Pelodiscus sinensis: one gene and its partner. Each later gene encodes a partner of the first gene's protein in a complex. Links are inferred from orthologs where the notes say so. Each region holds a gene or a part of one and is shown in the gene's direction. Other genes may lie near its edges.

Region 1 (7,113 bases):
AGGCGAAAAACCTCCAGGGTCTCTGCCAATCTACCCTGGAGGAAAATTCCTTCCCGGCCCCAAATATGGTGATCAGCTAAACCCTGAGCATGTGGGCAAGACTCACCAGCCAGACACCCAGAAAGTTCTCTATAGTAGTAACTCCTATCATCCCTCCATTGACCTATTTCCTACTGATAATGAATGGTCAATTAGTTACCAAGATCATGTTATCTCATCAAACCATCCCCTTCATAAACCCATCTAGTTTAATCTTGAAACCAGATAGATCTTTTGCCCCCACTACTTCCCTTGGAAGGCCGTTCCAGAACCTCACTCCTCTAATGGTTAGAAACCTTCGTCTAATCTCAAATCTAAACTTCCTACTAGCCAGCTTATATACAGGCAGTCCCCGAGTTACGCGGATCCGACTTTCTGCACTTACGAACGGGGCTTTCTCGCCCCGGAGCTCGCAGGCAGCGGGACCGCCCAGAGCACAGCGGTCCTGCCACCTCGACCTCCGGGGCGAGAAAAGCTGCTCCGGGTGCCTCTGGTCTGCTGGGGACCGTCTCCAGCAGACCAGGGACACCGGGAGCAAAGCCGCAGTGGCGGCGGAGTCCCGCGCCTCCCCAGCTTTGCTCCGGGTGTCCCTGGTCTGCTGGGGACTGTCTCCAGCAGACCAGGGACACCGGGAGCAAAGCCGCGGCGGCGGCGGGGTCCCGCGCCTCTGAGGCTTTGCCAGAGCAAAGCCTCAGAGGCGCGGCACCCCGCCACCACTGCGGCTTTGCTCCCTGTGTCCCTGGTCTGCTGGGGGGGGCGCAGCTAGTGCGCCCCCCCCAGCAGACCAGGCTTTTGTTGTGGACCCTGGGGTAGAGCAGCTGGGGTGCTGCCGGGTTGGTCCTGCAGGGACCTACCTGGCAGCCCAGCTGTTCTGTCCCAGGCTCGAGATTCAGCCGCTGTTGAAACTGATCAGTGGCTGATTCCAGGAAGCTGGGGGCAGAGCAATTCTGCCTCCAGCTTCCTGTAGTTAGCCCCTGGTCAGTTTCGGCAGCAGCGGCTGAATCTGGGGCCAGTTCCGACTTACATAGAAATTCAACTTAAGAACAAACCTATAGTCCCTATCTTGTACGTAACCCGGGGACTGCCTGTACATTTGTTCTTGTATCCACATTGGTATTAAGCTTAAATAATTCCTCTCCCTCCCTGGTATTTATCCCTCTAATATATTTAAAGAGTGCAATCATGTCCCCCCTTCAGCCTTCTTTTGGTTAAGGTAAACAAGCCAAGCTCCGTGAGTCTCCTTTCATAAGACAGGTTTTCCATCCCTCGGATCATCCTAGTGGCCCTTCTTTGTACCTGTTCCAGTTTGAATTCATCCTTCTTAAACATGGGAGACCAGAATTGCACACAGTATTCCAAATGGGGTCTCACCAATGCCTTGTATAATGGCACTAACACCTCCTTATCCCTACTGGAAATACCTCGCCTAATACATCCCAAGACCGTATTAGCCTTTTTCATGGCCATGTCACAATGGCAGCTCATAGTCATCCTATAATCAACCAGGACTCTGAGGTCCTTCTCCTCCTCCGTTACTTCCAACTGATGTGTCCCCAGCTTATAACTAAAATTCTTGTTATTAATCCCTAAATGCATAACCGTACACTTCTCACTATCAAATTTCATCCTATTGCTATCATTCCAATTTACAAGATCATCCAGATCTTCCTGTATGATATCCCGATCCTTTTCTGAATTGGCAGTAGCTCCCAACTTTGTGTCATCTGCAAATTTTATCAGGAGACTTCCACTTTTGGTGCCAAGGTCAGCAATAAAAAGATTAAATAAAATTGGCCCCAAAACTGATCCCTGAGGAACTCCGCTAGTAACCTTCCTCCAACCTGACAGTTCACCTTTCAGTATGACCCACTGTAGTCTCCCCTTTAACCAGTTGCTTATCCACCTCTCAACTTTCATATTAATCCCTATCTTTTCCAATTTAACCAATAATTCCCCATGTGGTACTGTATCAAATGCCTTATTAAAGTCGAGGTAGATTAGATCCACTGCATTTCCTTTATCTAAAAAATCTGTTACTTTCTCAAAGAAGGAGATCAGATTGGTTTGGCACGATCTACCTTTTGTAAAACCATGTTGTAATTTGTCCCAATTGCTATTAGCCTCAATGTCTCTAACTACTTTCTCCTTCAAAATTTTTTCCAAGATCTTGCATGTCAAATTAACAGGCCTATAGTTGCCCGGGTCGCTTTTTTTCCCTTTCTTAAAAATAGGAACTATATTAGCAATTCTCCAGTCAAATGGTACAACCCCTGAGTTTAGAGATTTATTAAAAAATGTTGCTAATGGACTTGCAAGTTCATGTGCCAGTTCCTTTAATATTCTTGGATGAAGATTATCTGGACCCCCCGATTTACTCCCATTAAGCTGTTCAAGTTTGGCTCTAACATCCTAGCATGGCAGATGAGGCCATAACAGGCAATGTGATGGCAAGTATGTGGCTGGAAATTTAAAAAGGTTATTGTGCAGCTGTAAGCTTGGGTTGGTGTGTACTATCTCCAATATCTTGCTAGTGGCAATCTCGCATCTGATATTATTGCTCAGAATTGGGAGCCCTCGGAGTAGAGTTGAACAGAGTGCCAGAGATGATATGCATGGTGGCATATAACTGCATATCCACCTATTTGGTGTGTGACGATTGACTCCATAATGGTGTACAGTACTCCACCACCAAATACAAGGCACTGGCGAGAGCAATGGATACTTTATAATTTCTAACCAGTCCTTCGTCGCTGATCCCACAATTTGCTTGCCTGGTTTTGACTGCCCCATTGTCAGTGATCCCTATTGAATAGGTTCCGGACTGAGCAAGGTCTCTGTGCAGCCAATCATTATCACTGTGGCCTTCGGAAAAGTCCTTTGAGCAGCTGCAGCATAACACAGACAATGAAACATGTTGTCTTTGAATGCCTGGTGGCTAGGTTCAGTGGTGATGTAGAAGAACAGCATCATGCCACTGAAGATGCCATTGCTTGGCTTAGAAGACTATGCACATACTAAATAAATAAATAAATAATCTATGTACTGTATCTGTCTGCTCCGTGGACAGGAGAATTCAGTATCCAGATCTGCCAAGCCAGCACCTGAATTAGGTTCATATACATACAAAGCTACTACTGCTTTGGATGACACAACATAACAAACTCAACATATTGGGTTTCTCCGTGGCTGCTGGTGTGTGCACATTTTGCTCTTGGATGTACTTGTAGGGCAGTACTCTTGTACATTTTCCCTCCCTTGCCTGCACAAAGGGATGGAGTCATAAGTGACTTGTGGTAGCACTTGAACCTCTATGCCCCAGCCAACATTTTAATTGCTAAATGGGGTGCCCACACATGCCCCCTCTCATCCCGGCCTCGAGGTGGCCCTTCCTATACCCCACAGCACAGGAGCCAACGGGCTCACCAGGCCCCTAGGCAAGGCAAGGGGGGAGGACAGCTCCCTCTCCCGTCAATGGCCGGTCCCACAGGCACCCTGCTCTAGCGCCTGTGACAGAAGCCCCCAGGATCAGTGGTAGCAGCTAGGGATCTGAAATCCCATGTAATCAGTGAACCGCCTTAACGGGATGGGGGAAGGGGGCTGGCTGCTCCAGCCGAGCTCGGCTGCCCGTTAACGGCTGACATCCCTAGCAGCAGCGCGCGGCGAGAGGACGCTTCACTGGCACGGTCGGGTTTGCAAACTTAAATTGGGAGGAGGGACCCACCCGAAAATCCCCGCGCTCCCATGTGACCCTCCCCACAGCTGCCCTGCACTGCCTGAGGCGTGTGCCCGGGCCCACAGCGGCGCCGCTGGCGAGAGCGCCCTCACGCGCAGGCGCTGCCAGACTGAACGCATCCGGCAGCTATCGGCGTCCAAGGGGCAATCTTACTGGATGGGAGCAATCCCAGAGACTACACTTCCCGGCATGCCGTGCGCGGCTCGGAGGATGGCGCCTCCCCTTTGGGGTGGCAGCGACTATGCCTGCTCCGTAGAACGGCGCTAGCCCCATTGGCGAGCGGAGATTCGGGCTCCACATGTGGCTCTAGCAAGGCGAGAACCTCGTGGCCAGAGGGCCGCTGCCCGCGGTGCCGAGCGACTGATCATCAGGCGCCATGTGGGCAACCCCCTGGGCGGGACGAGGCACTGGGATGGGGAGGCCCCGACTCGCGTCCCGGAAGTGCCTGTGAGGAGGGGGCGATGAGCCCGGACCCCTAGTAGCAGGCGAGAGGGCCGGGACACGACAGCAGCTGCCGCCATGGCGGGTCGGGGCTCCGGCTCCTCCGAGCATTTCGAGCGGCTGCACGAGATCTTCGGGGGGCTGCACAAGCAGCTGCGAGGCGCCCCGGAGAGACTGCGGGGGAGCGCGGCCGGTGAGGGAGCGCGCGCGCGCGGCCGTTATTGCTTAGGAGCGGGAGACCCCCCCCCCCCGAGTCTGTCTGGCGGGGGGGCGGCGCAGGGTCATTGGCATCCTTATTAGAGGCCAAGAACTGAACGGGACGTGCAAATTGAGGTCTGACCCTTAAGATCAGGCGTCTCAGACTCTGCCCGGGAGCCATTTGTGGCCCGAGTAGTTCCATAATCTGTGCTGCTCCGTGAGTCCCCCATCGCACCCTCTCCCTCAAGCCTCTTCCCCCAAAGGACGCAGCCCTGGTGATTTCCAGTAGAGCTGGTATGTGATGGCAGCAGCCATCGCCTCCCCACACTCACCGCGGCAGAGCAGCACAGCTCTCTGCTCTGCCCGCCACCACCTCTCCGCTTCACCTTGGAGGCAGCAAAAAGGAGTTCCCCAGCCCCAATGAAGGCTGGCTACTATGTAGCTTTGCTTTACTACGACTCCCACTCCTGAGGTGAATGGCGGGGGGGGAGGGGGGGGAATACTGCTGCTGCCAGCTGTAGCCCATCCAGGGCCCTGCAGGCTAATCTGAGTATGGGGGACCATCCTGTCCATAAGGTAGTCCCACTGACATCACTGCACTTACGTTATGTAAATTCTTGTATACTTTGGGCCTTTGGCTTAAGTGTCAGCACAAACATGAAACATATGCAATGTAGGGCTGTTAAAATGCATTTATTTAGGTAAATGTGTAATTGCTGAAATTTTCAGCAATTACACATTTACATGCAAGGTGGGAGGCAGCTCCTTCCCCGCCCCCACTGCTGCCTTGTATCTGAGGCAGCAGAGTGGGGGCAGGTGTCTCCCTGTTTGCACTAGCTCCCATCTGCCAGCAGTTGGGGGGAGGGGAAAGGAGCTGCATGTAACTGTGAAGGTTAACCGATGATCCCAGGCCCATTCCCTTCTGAAACACTAGAATCTTGCTTAAAGTAGGGATGTGAATAGTTAATTAGTAAGCATCAATCTATTGAAATGTTATGGACTCCCTAAACAATATAGCTGTGCCTGCAGCCTGCACGTCCCTTAGCCCAAGCTGCTTTCTGAGCCGCATCCCTCAGCCCGCTCGGGAAGCAATGCAGGCTGAAGGACATGCTGGCTGCAGTAGGCTCTGTACATTTATTTTAATTTCTACTTTAAACTTTCTGCAGACCCCCCTACAGTACTGTTGCAGACCACCAGGGGTCTGCTGACAACAGGTTGGGAACAACTGGGTTAAACATAACATTTAACCAGTTAATTAATTAATTAAACATAAATTTATATCCCTAGCTTAAAGGCCACTATCTAGTCAACTGAATTAATAATGAAGAGTTAAAAGCAGTTTCTAAGTCTTCTAGGCAATTTTTGTAGTTTTACTGCTACGTTTTCTTATTTTTAAATGATTTCCTCTTTCCTGTTGCTGTGGGAGACCACATAATCTACAGAAGATTTCTAAAGTGAAACACTGTGCTGCTGTTAAATGTAAAAAGTAATCCTGGAAAAATGAGCTTTTTTTTCTAATTTTTGAGTTTTACTGTTTGATCTAGCTAGCAGATACTGGTAAGTAGGTGAAATGATTTCTAATGGAAGAATCTCTCTAAAAGTTGATGGTGGCCTTTTAATTCATCTGGTGAATGCTGGTTATATTGGGGGGAAAAGGGAAGTGACCTGACAAAGGAATGTTAGCAATATAAATGAATTTCCTCACAATCAGGAAGCTCCCTTTCTTTTCAGAAGTGTGACACCGAAGTCTACTCAGCTGATATCTATTCTTTGCCAGAAGAGTGAATAAGGCAAAATATTCCTTGTTCTTTGGCACTTGTTAGTCATGTGACCACCAGGATTAATTATAGTAATTCTCTGTACTTAATATGTAAGCATCAAACTCATAAAAACTTTGTTGTTTAGAATCCAGTAGCTCCTATGCTCAGTCTCCTAGGCTGTTGAGAACACAACACTGCAGTGTTCAACTGACAAGTGGCTCCCCATTAAATACTGAGTTGAACTCAAAGTCTGTGTTCTCTTCTTTGAAATTCTCCATAAAATTGTCCCAAGAATTACTTCATGTAGTATGATGATGACCTTCCAAAATGGCAATATTCTACTGGACACAGTATATTATTATCATCAAGAATGGATCACAAATATGGACTTGCTTGATATTGAAACTGACTGCAAAACTCAAGTTACTTACAATCTAGCCTTCCCTCCCAAAACCCCTATAAATCTATCTTTTGCTGCTTTGCTGTATGGAAGAGTGAGAAATGACTCATCACTTTATAATTTTGGGAGGCACTCTGATACCAAAGTGAGGGGAACAAAGAAAGCACTTAAATAGAACACTATCCCACGTTCAAAATTAGAACAGAACAGTAAGCAGGAAGCTGATTTAACTGTATAGTGCAATTTTAAAAGGTAATTTTATGAATAGTGGTCATGGAAGTTTGTCAGTAAAATAGTGTCATTAAAGTTGCATGAAAAACTGAGGGAGGGTCTGAAGAAATGAGTTGCTGCTATTAAGGCTAATCAGTTTAATTGTTGCCAAGCAATTTTTGAAATTCTTATTAAGGATAATTTTCAGTTGTAAATGCTATAAATCATTGCTCAAACCAGGAAAATCCCCAAGAATGATTTCAAAAATAATTTGCAAGAAATTTTGTGGGACTTGAGGAAGGTCCCCATATGGGGTAAGTAAATTTTTTTTA
Region 2 (7,772 bases), about 52 Mb from region 1:
TTACAGCCAAAGGGCAGAGCAGATGGATGACCCCAATAAAACCAGGCGCTAACTCCTTCTCTTCTTCTCTCCCTTTAATCCTCTCTCTCCCTCTCTTTACTTTCCAATGTTTAATAAACACCCTCCCACCAACGCACTTAGGAAACCCCCCTCCCTTCCTCAGTGGGAAGATTAACACAGAACAGATAACTGCAGCTCCCTGCAGCCCTCCCCTTCCACCCACTGTCCTGATTTCTGTTCCTGCACAGCAAAAACCCAGAAATTTCTTTGTGGAATAAAAGAGATGCACAAGAGAGCAAGACAGACAGACAAGCCCCATGCAGGCTGGGTTAAGGTGGAGCTGTCCTTTAAGGTGGCACGAAGAAGTCCGTCAACTGAAAGCACTTTAATTTTGTTTTGTTTGTTTACGAAAGAATCTAGCACTCTGAGGCATCTGTGTAGGTCTGTAACTGGGGAAGATGAATATGCCAAATGCATTATAAAAATGCCTGGCTTGATGGATAAAAGGCCACTGTTGTCCAACATAGGGGCAGCGGGCTTCTATCATTCCTGACACGAATGTGTTTTACAATTATAGTAAATAATTAGATGTGCATTTATATGCCAATAATACTCATAGATTCTTTGGGGCTAGGCATTTGGCTGGTTGTAAAGCACTTTGTTGACGGACAGCGCTGAGAGAGATTGTTAATATACTACACTATTGAATATGATTCCATAAGGCTGTGTAGGGTAATATTTTCTATAGCTAGATTTCAATTCTGCACTAAATATTGAGGGTGTAAATCCCCCAATAAAGCCAAGGTCTTGAGACAAGTCCCATACACCTCTCTCCCCACCCCAATTCAGAAGCTCCACCTGAAACTCATTGCGTGGTGGGCACCAATTCTATGGCACTGTCACAATAAAGTTTAAGGGTGCCTACTGGCTGCCCAGCATGATGCTCCCCCTGAAGTTTGCAAGCTACTAGGACGGCTGAGGAAGACAGAGAGGAACACAGCTCTCAAAACCACAATAAAACCCCAAACTCCTCAAAAGAGATCCCATGGAAATGTAGACATTAAAGCTGAAAAAGGCAGCTCATCTCTAATCCACCCCCTTTGGGCCAATACAGGATTGTTCACGACAATGTACTTTCCTTCCAACTCCAAGCTTCTAGCACTTCCCATGGGACTAGAACACTTCTCTCAAACCTCGCTATTTGGATTTTGTTCCTGTTTTTCATCTTGCATTTTTCTGTTTAACTCATGAGAAGTTCTCCCCACCCAATACCAGTCTCTTTTTGATGCCCACATCCACCAAAAATGTATAGATGCTGGTCTTTGTGCTGCTCCCTCTAGTTCCAATTCTGCACCAATTACACCTGAACTTAACTTTAGTTCTGTGAGCAGTCCTTTCAAATCAACTGGACTCCTAAAAATTCTGCATGGGGGTAATGCCTTTGCAGGTTCAGGGCCTGTAGTCATACACATTTCTGTCTTTTCATCTTTCATAGTAAATCAGTCTTTACAGAAATCCTCATCAATTTGGAAGGACAGGATGGGACAAATGATAACTAATTTGCTAAAAGTAGAGACCGTACCTCTTCAATACTGAGGGATGGTCACAGAAGCAAAATGTCCTGAAACAATTAACAATAACTATTATAACAGTTTTCAGAGGGGTAGCCCTGTTAGTCTGTAATTTAAAAAAACAACAGCAGTTCTGTGGCCCCTAAGAGACTAACAAATAGATTATACCATGGCAATAATTATCAGATTAGCTTTATTTTAAACGATAAAACGTTGCTAAACTGGTTAAAACAGCTCTACCTTCCAGAGTAAAGAAAAGGAGTGTAAACAAATAGTAGGAGCTAATAGATGTTACATAGAAAATATAATAAGCACATTACCTTTACTTTAGTTTTCCTTGCTTAGGTTTCTTGCTTTATTTCCTGAACACTGCAGCTTGTCTCTCCCCCATCTCTCCAATGTAAGCGATTTGTGCAGGCAGCTGCTTTGTTTAAAAAAAGCTGGATTTTGCAAGCTCGAACGCTGGCCGGCCGGCTCAGGGTGGAATGTGATAGCATTTACCCTGTCGGGATGCTGTTCCCAGGGTTCAGGGATGGGGCACCAACTGGGGAAGGTCTTAATCTCTCTTCCCGCCTCCCCACTGTCCAAGGGTGGAGGGAAAGAGTCTATGTAACTCATACGGAAGTTAGGACCGTGCTGACATCCGACAACCGATTCAGAATGGGGGTGGGGATTGCAACAGGTCGGAGAGAGAAGACGATACAGTAGTACAGACAAAAGAAACGCTGTATTACTGGAGGTTTGGAAATCGGGGGAGGGGCAGAGATAGCTTCCTGCGATCAGCCATAAGAATTTTCAACAACGGATGCAATATGGAAATATTTTAGGTGCTGATCATCCACCCTTCTCTGGCAGGATTAATGACAAAGAAAAATCGTCTCCTCTCCATTGTCTGGTGGGAGTCAGATGAAAGAAATTCTTAGAGCAAAATAATTAAGCGGGGCTGGGCAAACCTGTTCTTTGACTATGTTTTTCTCCTATTGTTTTTTTAAAATATTTCATTGAATTTTGTGTAATATTTAAGCTGTTAAGTATAAAATAGCAAACATAGAAATAAGAAGGAATGTGCTAAATGTCACTGCCCAATCGCTGTTTTTCGGTTCCATCCCTTCTGGCTAGCTGTTCATTCTTGGTGCTCCAGTTGTGTTAATACTAGCTACCAGGCACACTACCTTCCTCCCTGAGTGGTCCTACTGATGAAGCTAACGCCTAGATCCCGCCATTTATTCCCCATTACTGGATCTTTGCATGCTTCTCAGCAGGCCCAGGTGGCTGCTCACATGGATCAAATTGCAGGCTCAAGGGCTAAATAAATAATATGTTGTTGTGTGAAACAGACACAGGAAGTTTAGGCCAGGATGTTAACTTTATTAAAATAAGCTACAGAAATGCTTTCCGTTTAATTGAAACCTTATTTGTAATGCAAACATTAGGGCTCTCAAGTGATTAAATGTTTAATCGTGATTAATCACACTGTTAAATAATTTAATGTTATTTATTTAAATATGTTGATGTTTTTCTACAAATATATTGATTTCACTTTCAACACATCAGAGTACAGGGCTGGCTTTAAGTGTGATTACAAATATTTGTGCTGTTAAAAATAGTATTTTTTAATTCACCTCATACAAGTGCTGAAATGCAATCTCTATCATGAAAGTTGAACTCAAGGTAGAATTATGTATAAAAATAACTGTGTTCAGAAATAAAACAATGTAAAATCTTTTCCTCTCCCATTGTCCGGAGAAAGTCAGATGAAAGAAATCCCTAAAGCAAAACAATCAAGTGGGGCTGGGCAAACCTATTCTTTGACTATGATTTTATCCTATTAGCTTTTTAAAAAATATTTCATTTAATATTGTGTAATATTTAAGCTATTAAGTATAAAATAGCAAACATGAAGATAACAAGGTATGTGCTAAATGTCAATGTTCAATTGCTGTTTTTCTTTTCCATCCCATCTTGCTAGTTGTCCATTCTTGGTGCTCCAGTTATGTTAATAGTAACTACCAGGCATAAGAGTCTACAAGTTCACTCAGTCCTATTTCTTGTCCAGCCAATCACTCAACAAGTTTGTTTACATTTGCAAGAGAACTGCTGCCCATTTCTTGTTCACAGGATCTGCTTGATAATGATACGAAACAGTGTAGACTGATGCATATTCATTTTCTTCATCTGAATCAGATGTCAATAGCAGAAGGTTGATTTTTTTTGGTGGTGGTTGGATTCTGCCATTTCTGCATTGGTATGTTGCACTTTTAAGACTTCTGAAAGCATGCACCACACTTTAGTCCACTCAGATTTTGGAAAGCACTTCAGACTCTTAAACCTTGGAGTGTTGTAGCTCTCTTTAGAAATCTCACATTGGTGCCTTCTTCCTGTTTTGTCAAATCTGTAGTGAAAATGTTCTTAAAACAAACGACATGTGCTGGGCTATTTTTACAATGCAAATATTTATAATAAAATAATATAAAGTGAGCACTATACAGCCTGTGTTGTGTGGTAATTGAAATCAGTGTATTTGAAAAGGTAAGAAAACATCCACAAATATTTAATACATGTCCAGTGAGATAAGAATGAAAAAAAGAATGGCCATACTGGGTCAGACTTAAGGTCCAACTAGCCCAGTATCCCGCCTTCCCACAGCAGCCAATGCCAGGTGCTCCGGAGGGGGTGACCAGACCAGGGAATCATCAATGTATCCCTCTCCTGTCATCCATTTCCAGCCGCTGATAATAATTTATAGATTAACCTCCATGAATGTATCAGGTTTTTTTTAACCCTGTTAAAGTCCAGGCCTTCACGACATCCTTCTGCAAGGAGTTCCACAGGTTCACTGCGTGCTGTCAAGTGGTGATTAAGCAGGATGATTTTAATCCATTGAGTTAATTAGGAGAGTTAACACTGCCATTCATTAGCAACCCTAATAAACCTCCCCATGTTTTCCCTCCGACGTTAGGAGCCCGGACAAAAGCCCATTGCACTCAGGTTGAAAAGGGAGCCCGTGGGGTGGCCCCGTGTGAACGCAAAGCCCAAAGAAACGGGACAGCCGGGCGGGGTGTGGGCGGGCTGCAGCCCCTGCGGTGGGTGTGGCGCACGCGCACGGCTGCTCGGACAGCAGGGCCCGGCCTCGTTCTCGCCCGGCGCCTCTAGCGCGCGGGGCTGAGCCCAGCCCCCGGTCTCCGCCCCAGCAGCTGGGGGCAGTGGAGGCCCCGCCCCGCGAGGCGGAGTCACTGCGCCCCTCCCCCCCCCTTCCCGGTCCTCCTCCTCCTCCCGGAGCCGCCGGCCGGACGCGCAGGCAGGACGCGGCCATGGCGGACTGGGGCCGAGGTGAGCCCGGCCGGGCGCCGCGCGCGGTCCCGCTGCAACGGGAGCCCCGGGCCCCGCCACCGCCCTCGCGCCGGGCCCGGGGAGAAGGAACAGCGGGGCGGGGCCAGGCAGGGGCTTGAGACGGGTTTGGTGACGCAGGGGGAGGGGGGCAGAGATCAGGGGGGCTGGTGGGGAGCTGTGGGGCGGGGTGACTGGGATAGGGGGGGTGGCAGGGAGCTGTGGGGCGGGGAGCTGTGGGTAAGGGGGACGGGCGGGGGGTTGCGGGGCGGGGAGCTGTGGGTGGGGGGGTGGCAGGGAGCTGTGGGTAAGGGGGGCTGGCGGGGAGCTGTTGGTAGGGGGTGGCAGGGAGCTGTGGGGCGGGGTGACTGGGATAGGGGGGGTGGCAGGGAGCTGTGGGGCGGGGAGCTGTGGGTAAGGGGGACGGGCGGGGGGTTGCGGGGCGGGGAGCTGTGGGTGGGGGGGTGGCAGGGAGCTGTGGGTAAGGGGGGCTGGCGGGGAGCTGTTGGTAGGGGGTGGCAGGGAGCTGTGGGGCGGGGAGCTGTGGGTGGGGGGGGTGGCAGGGAGCTGTGGGTAAGGGGGGCTGGCAGGGGAGCTGTTGGTAGGGGGTGGCAGGGAGCTGTGGTGCGGGGAGCTGTGGGTAAGGGGGGCTGGCGGGGGGTTGCGGGGCGGGGAGCTGTGGGTAGGGGGGGTGGCAGGGAGCTGTGGGGCGGGGTGACTGGGACAGGAGGGGCTGTGGGTAGGGGGGGTGGCAGGGAGCTGTGGGGCGGGGTGACTGGGACAGGAGGGGCTGTGGGTAGGGGGGGTGGCAGGGAGCTGTGGGGCGGGGTGACTGGGACAGGAGGGGCTGTGGGTAGGGGGGGTGGCAGGGAGCTGTGGGGCGGGGTGACTGGGACAGGAGGGGCTGTGGGTAGGGGGGGTGGCAGGGAGCTGTGGGGTGGGGTGACTGGGACAGGAGGGGCTGTGGATGGGGGGGTGGCAGGGAGCTGTGGGGTGGGGAGCTGTGGGTAAGGGGGACGGGCGGGGGGTTGTGGGGCGGGGAGCTGTGGGTAGGGGGGTGGCAGGGAGCTGTGGGGCGGGAGCTGTTGGTAAGGGGGACTGGCGGGGGGGTTGCGGGGCGGGGAGCTGTGGGTAAGGGGGGCTGGCGGGGAGCTGTTGGTAGGGGGGTGGCAGGGAGCTGTGGGTAAGGGGGGCTGGCGGGGGGTTGCGGGGCTGGGAGCTGTGGGTAAGGGGGGCTGGCGGGGAGCTGTGACCGGCTAGGGTAGAATAGGGCTGTCTGTGAGGTTGGAGCAGGGTTGTGGGCAGGGAGGCTGTGGGCAGCCAGTGGTCTGGCAGTATCGGTTGATGTGTCTTGGGGGGGTGGGACTCAGTGGGACAATGAGGCATGTGGCACAAAGGAATGGGGTGCTTCTGTGATGTGGGGAGGGGCCTGTCAGTAAGATAGTGGGTTGGCAGGACAAGGCCCGGGTTGATAAATATGGAATGGGTAGTTGGTTTGGGTCTTGTCTATAGGACAGCATGCAGCATGTCAGTACAAAATAGGTGTGGATGGTTTGATTTGCTGGTAGTTTTGAATTTTGGGGGCAGGAGAATCAATGGGTATAACTCTCTGGTTAGGGAGTCACTTTAGTTTGTTGTTTAAGCATGTTGTGCATGTGAGGTTTTCTAAATAGTAATTTTGTAGAACAAATTTAAAATTAACAAATCCACCTCCGAGAATGTTAACTTTCAGTTTGTGCAGATGTAGGTATAGAAAAGTTAAGTAACTTGTCCAAGGTATCTCAGCGGTAGAATTGAAAATAGAAATCAGAAATCCTGACTCCATTCCACCATTTTAACCAGTAAATACACTGCCACTTGTTGTATTATAACTGATAGAACTTTTGTAGGTAAGAGTCCGAGTGCTGTGGATGATATGCTAGATGTGGAGAACAAGCATATGGCAGACAATCTAGCCACCAAGGTCACCAGGCTGAAATCGGTTAGTTACTAACTACACCTCATTCTTTTTTTTTTACCGTCTTACATCATGGATGTTGAAAACATGTATTCGGTTACACGGGTCTGTCTTATTTATTCAGCTGTTCAGACGTTTTATGTACCACACTGTCTATGACAGGTCAGGTAACTAAATTTTGCTGTTAGAACATCCTGGAGAACTTTATTGAAATCCTCATTCCTTGTTTGGGATTTAGACAAGTTTGTACCTTTATAATATGGTTATTTTTTGTGGCATCCAGAGAAGGAATTAGGTTTGGTAAATAAATGGGTAGAGGGATTAGGGGCAAGAATATGCAAAGATATAGTCCTAAGGATGCCATCTGAGGAAGGTCTCAATAAAACCATATTAAAATATTCATGACAAATGTGTGTGCTCTGTTCCCTCAGTGCTCTGTTCTCTCAGGATAATATTCCTGAGACTAAACTAGTTCCATTGGCTTGAAAAAACATTAGCTTTCATTTCTTAATGCAGAGACTACAGTGTTAACAGCGTACTGGAATCTTTTTCATTTTCCCCAGTATTTGCAAGGTCACTTCATATACAAAAGTTTGAACTTCTGACACTAGAGATCTTAGGAATGTCTATTGCAACTAATACCATGTATTTGACATTCCATTTTTTTCATTTGACTGAACACACACATTGTGTGCATATGTGTGGGAGATGGGTAGGAGTGTTTGTGTGCTTGAATTTCACCAGCTTTCAGTGTGTTAGTTAATTATTTCACTTGGAGACTCTGACACTTGCTTTCCTCTCTTGAGTAGCTGGCACTGGACATTGACAAAGATGCTGAGGAACAAAACCGCTATCTGGATAGCACGGTAAGCAGCTGATAGAAGTCTGTAAGCGATGAAAACTTCTCGGCTGAATCT

Evidence for each region. The genes of interacting proteins can lie anywhere in the genome.
Region 2: VTI1B (region 1) and BET1L share a complex: the UniProt entries of both Homo sapiens proteins name them as parts of the SNARE complex. The link is inferred for Pelodiscus sinensis from reciprocal best matches to the Homo sapiens genes VTI1B and BET1L.

What each region holds. Positions count from the first base shown.
Region 1 is NC_134714.1:72,556,509-72,563,621, reverse strand, and holds the start of VTI1B (vesicle transport through interaction with t-SNAREs homolog 1B), read left to right. Parts: upstream 1-4,046; 5' UTR 4,047-4,291; coding exon 4,292-4,406; intron 4,407-7,113. UniProt on the Homo sapiens protein: V-SNARE that mediates vesicle transport pathways through interactions with t-SNAREs on the target membrane. These interactions are proposed to mediate aspects of the specificity of vesicle trafficking and to promote fusion of the lipid bilayers.
Region 2 is NC_134714.1:124,580,519-124,588,290, forward strand, and holds the start of BET1L (BET1-like protein), read left to right. Parts: upstream 1-4,742; 5' UTR 4,743-4,882; coding exon 4,883-4,901; intron 4,902-6,787; coding exon 6,788-6,879; intron 6,880-7,664; coding exon 7,665-7,721; intron 7,722-7,772. UniProt on the Homo sapiens protein: Vesicle SNARE required for targeting and fusion of retrograde transport vesicles with the Golgi complex. Required for the integrity of the Golgi complex.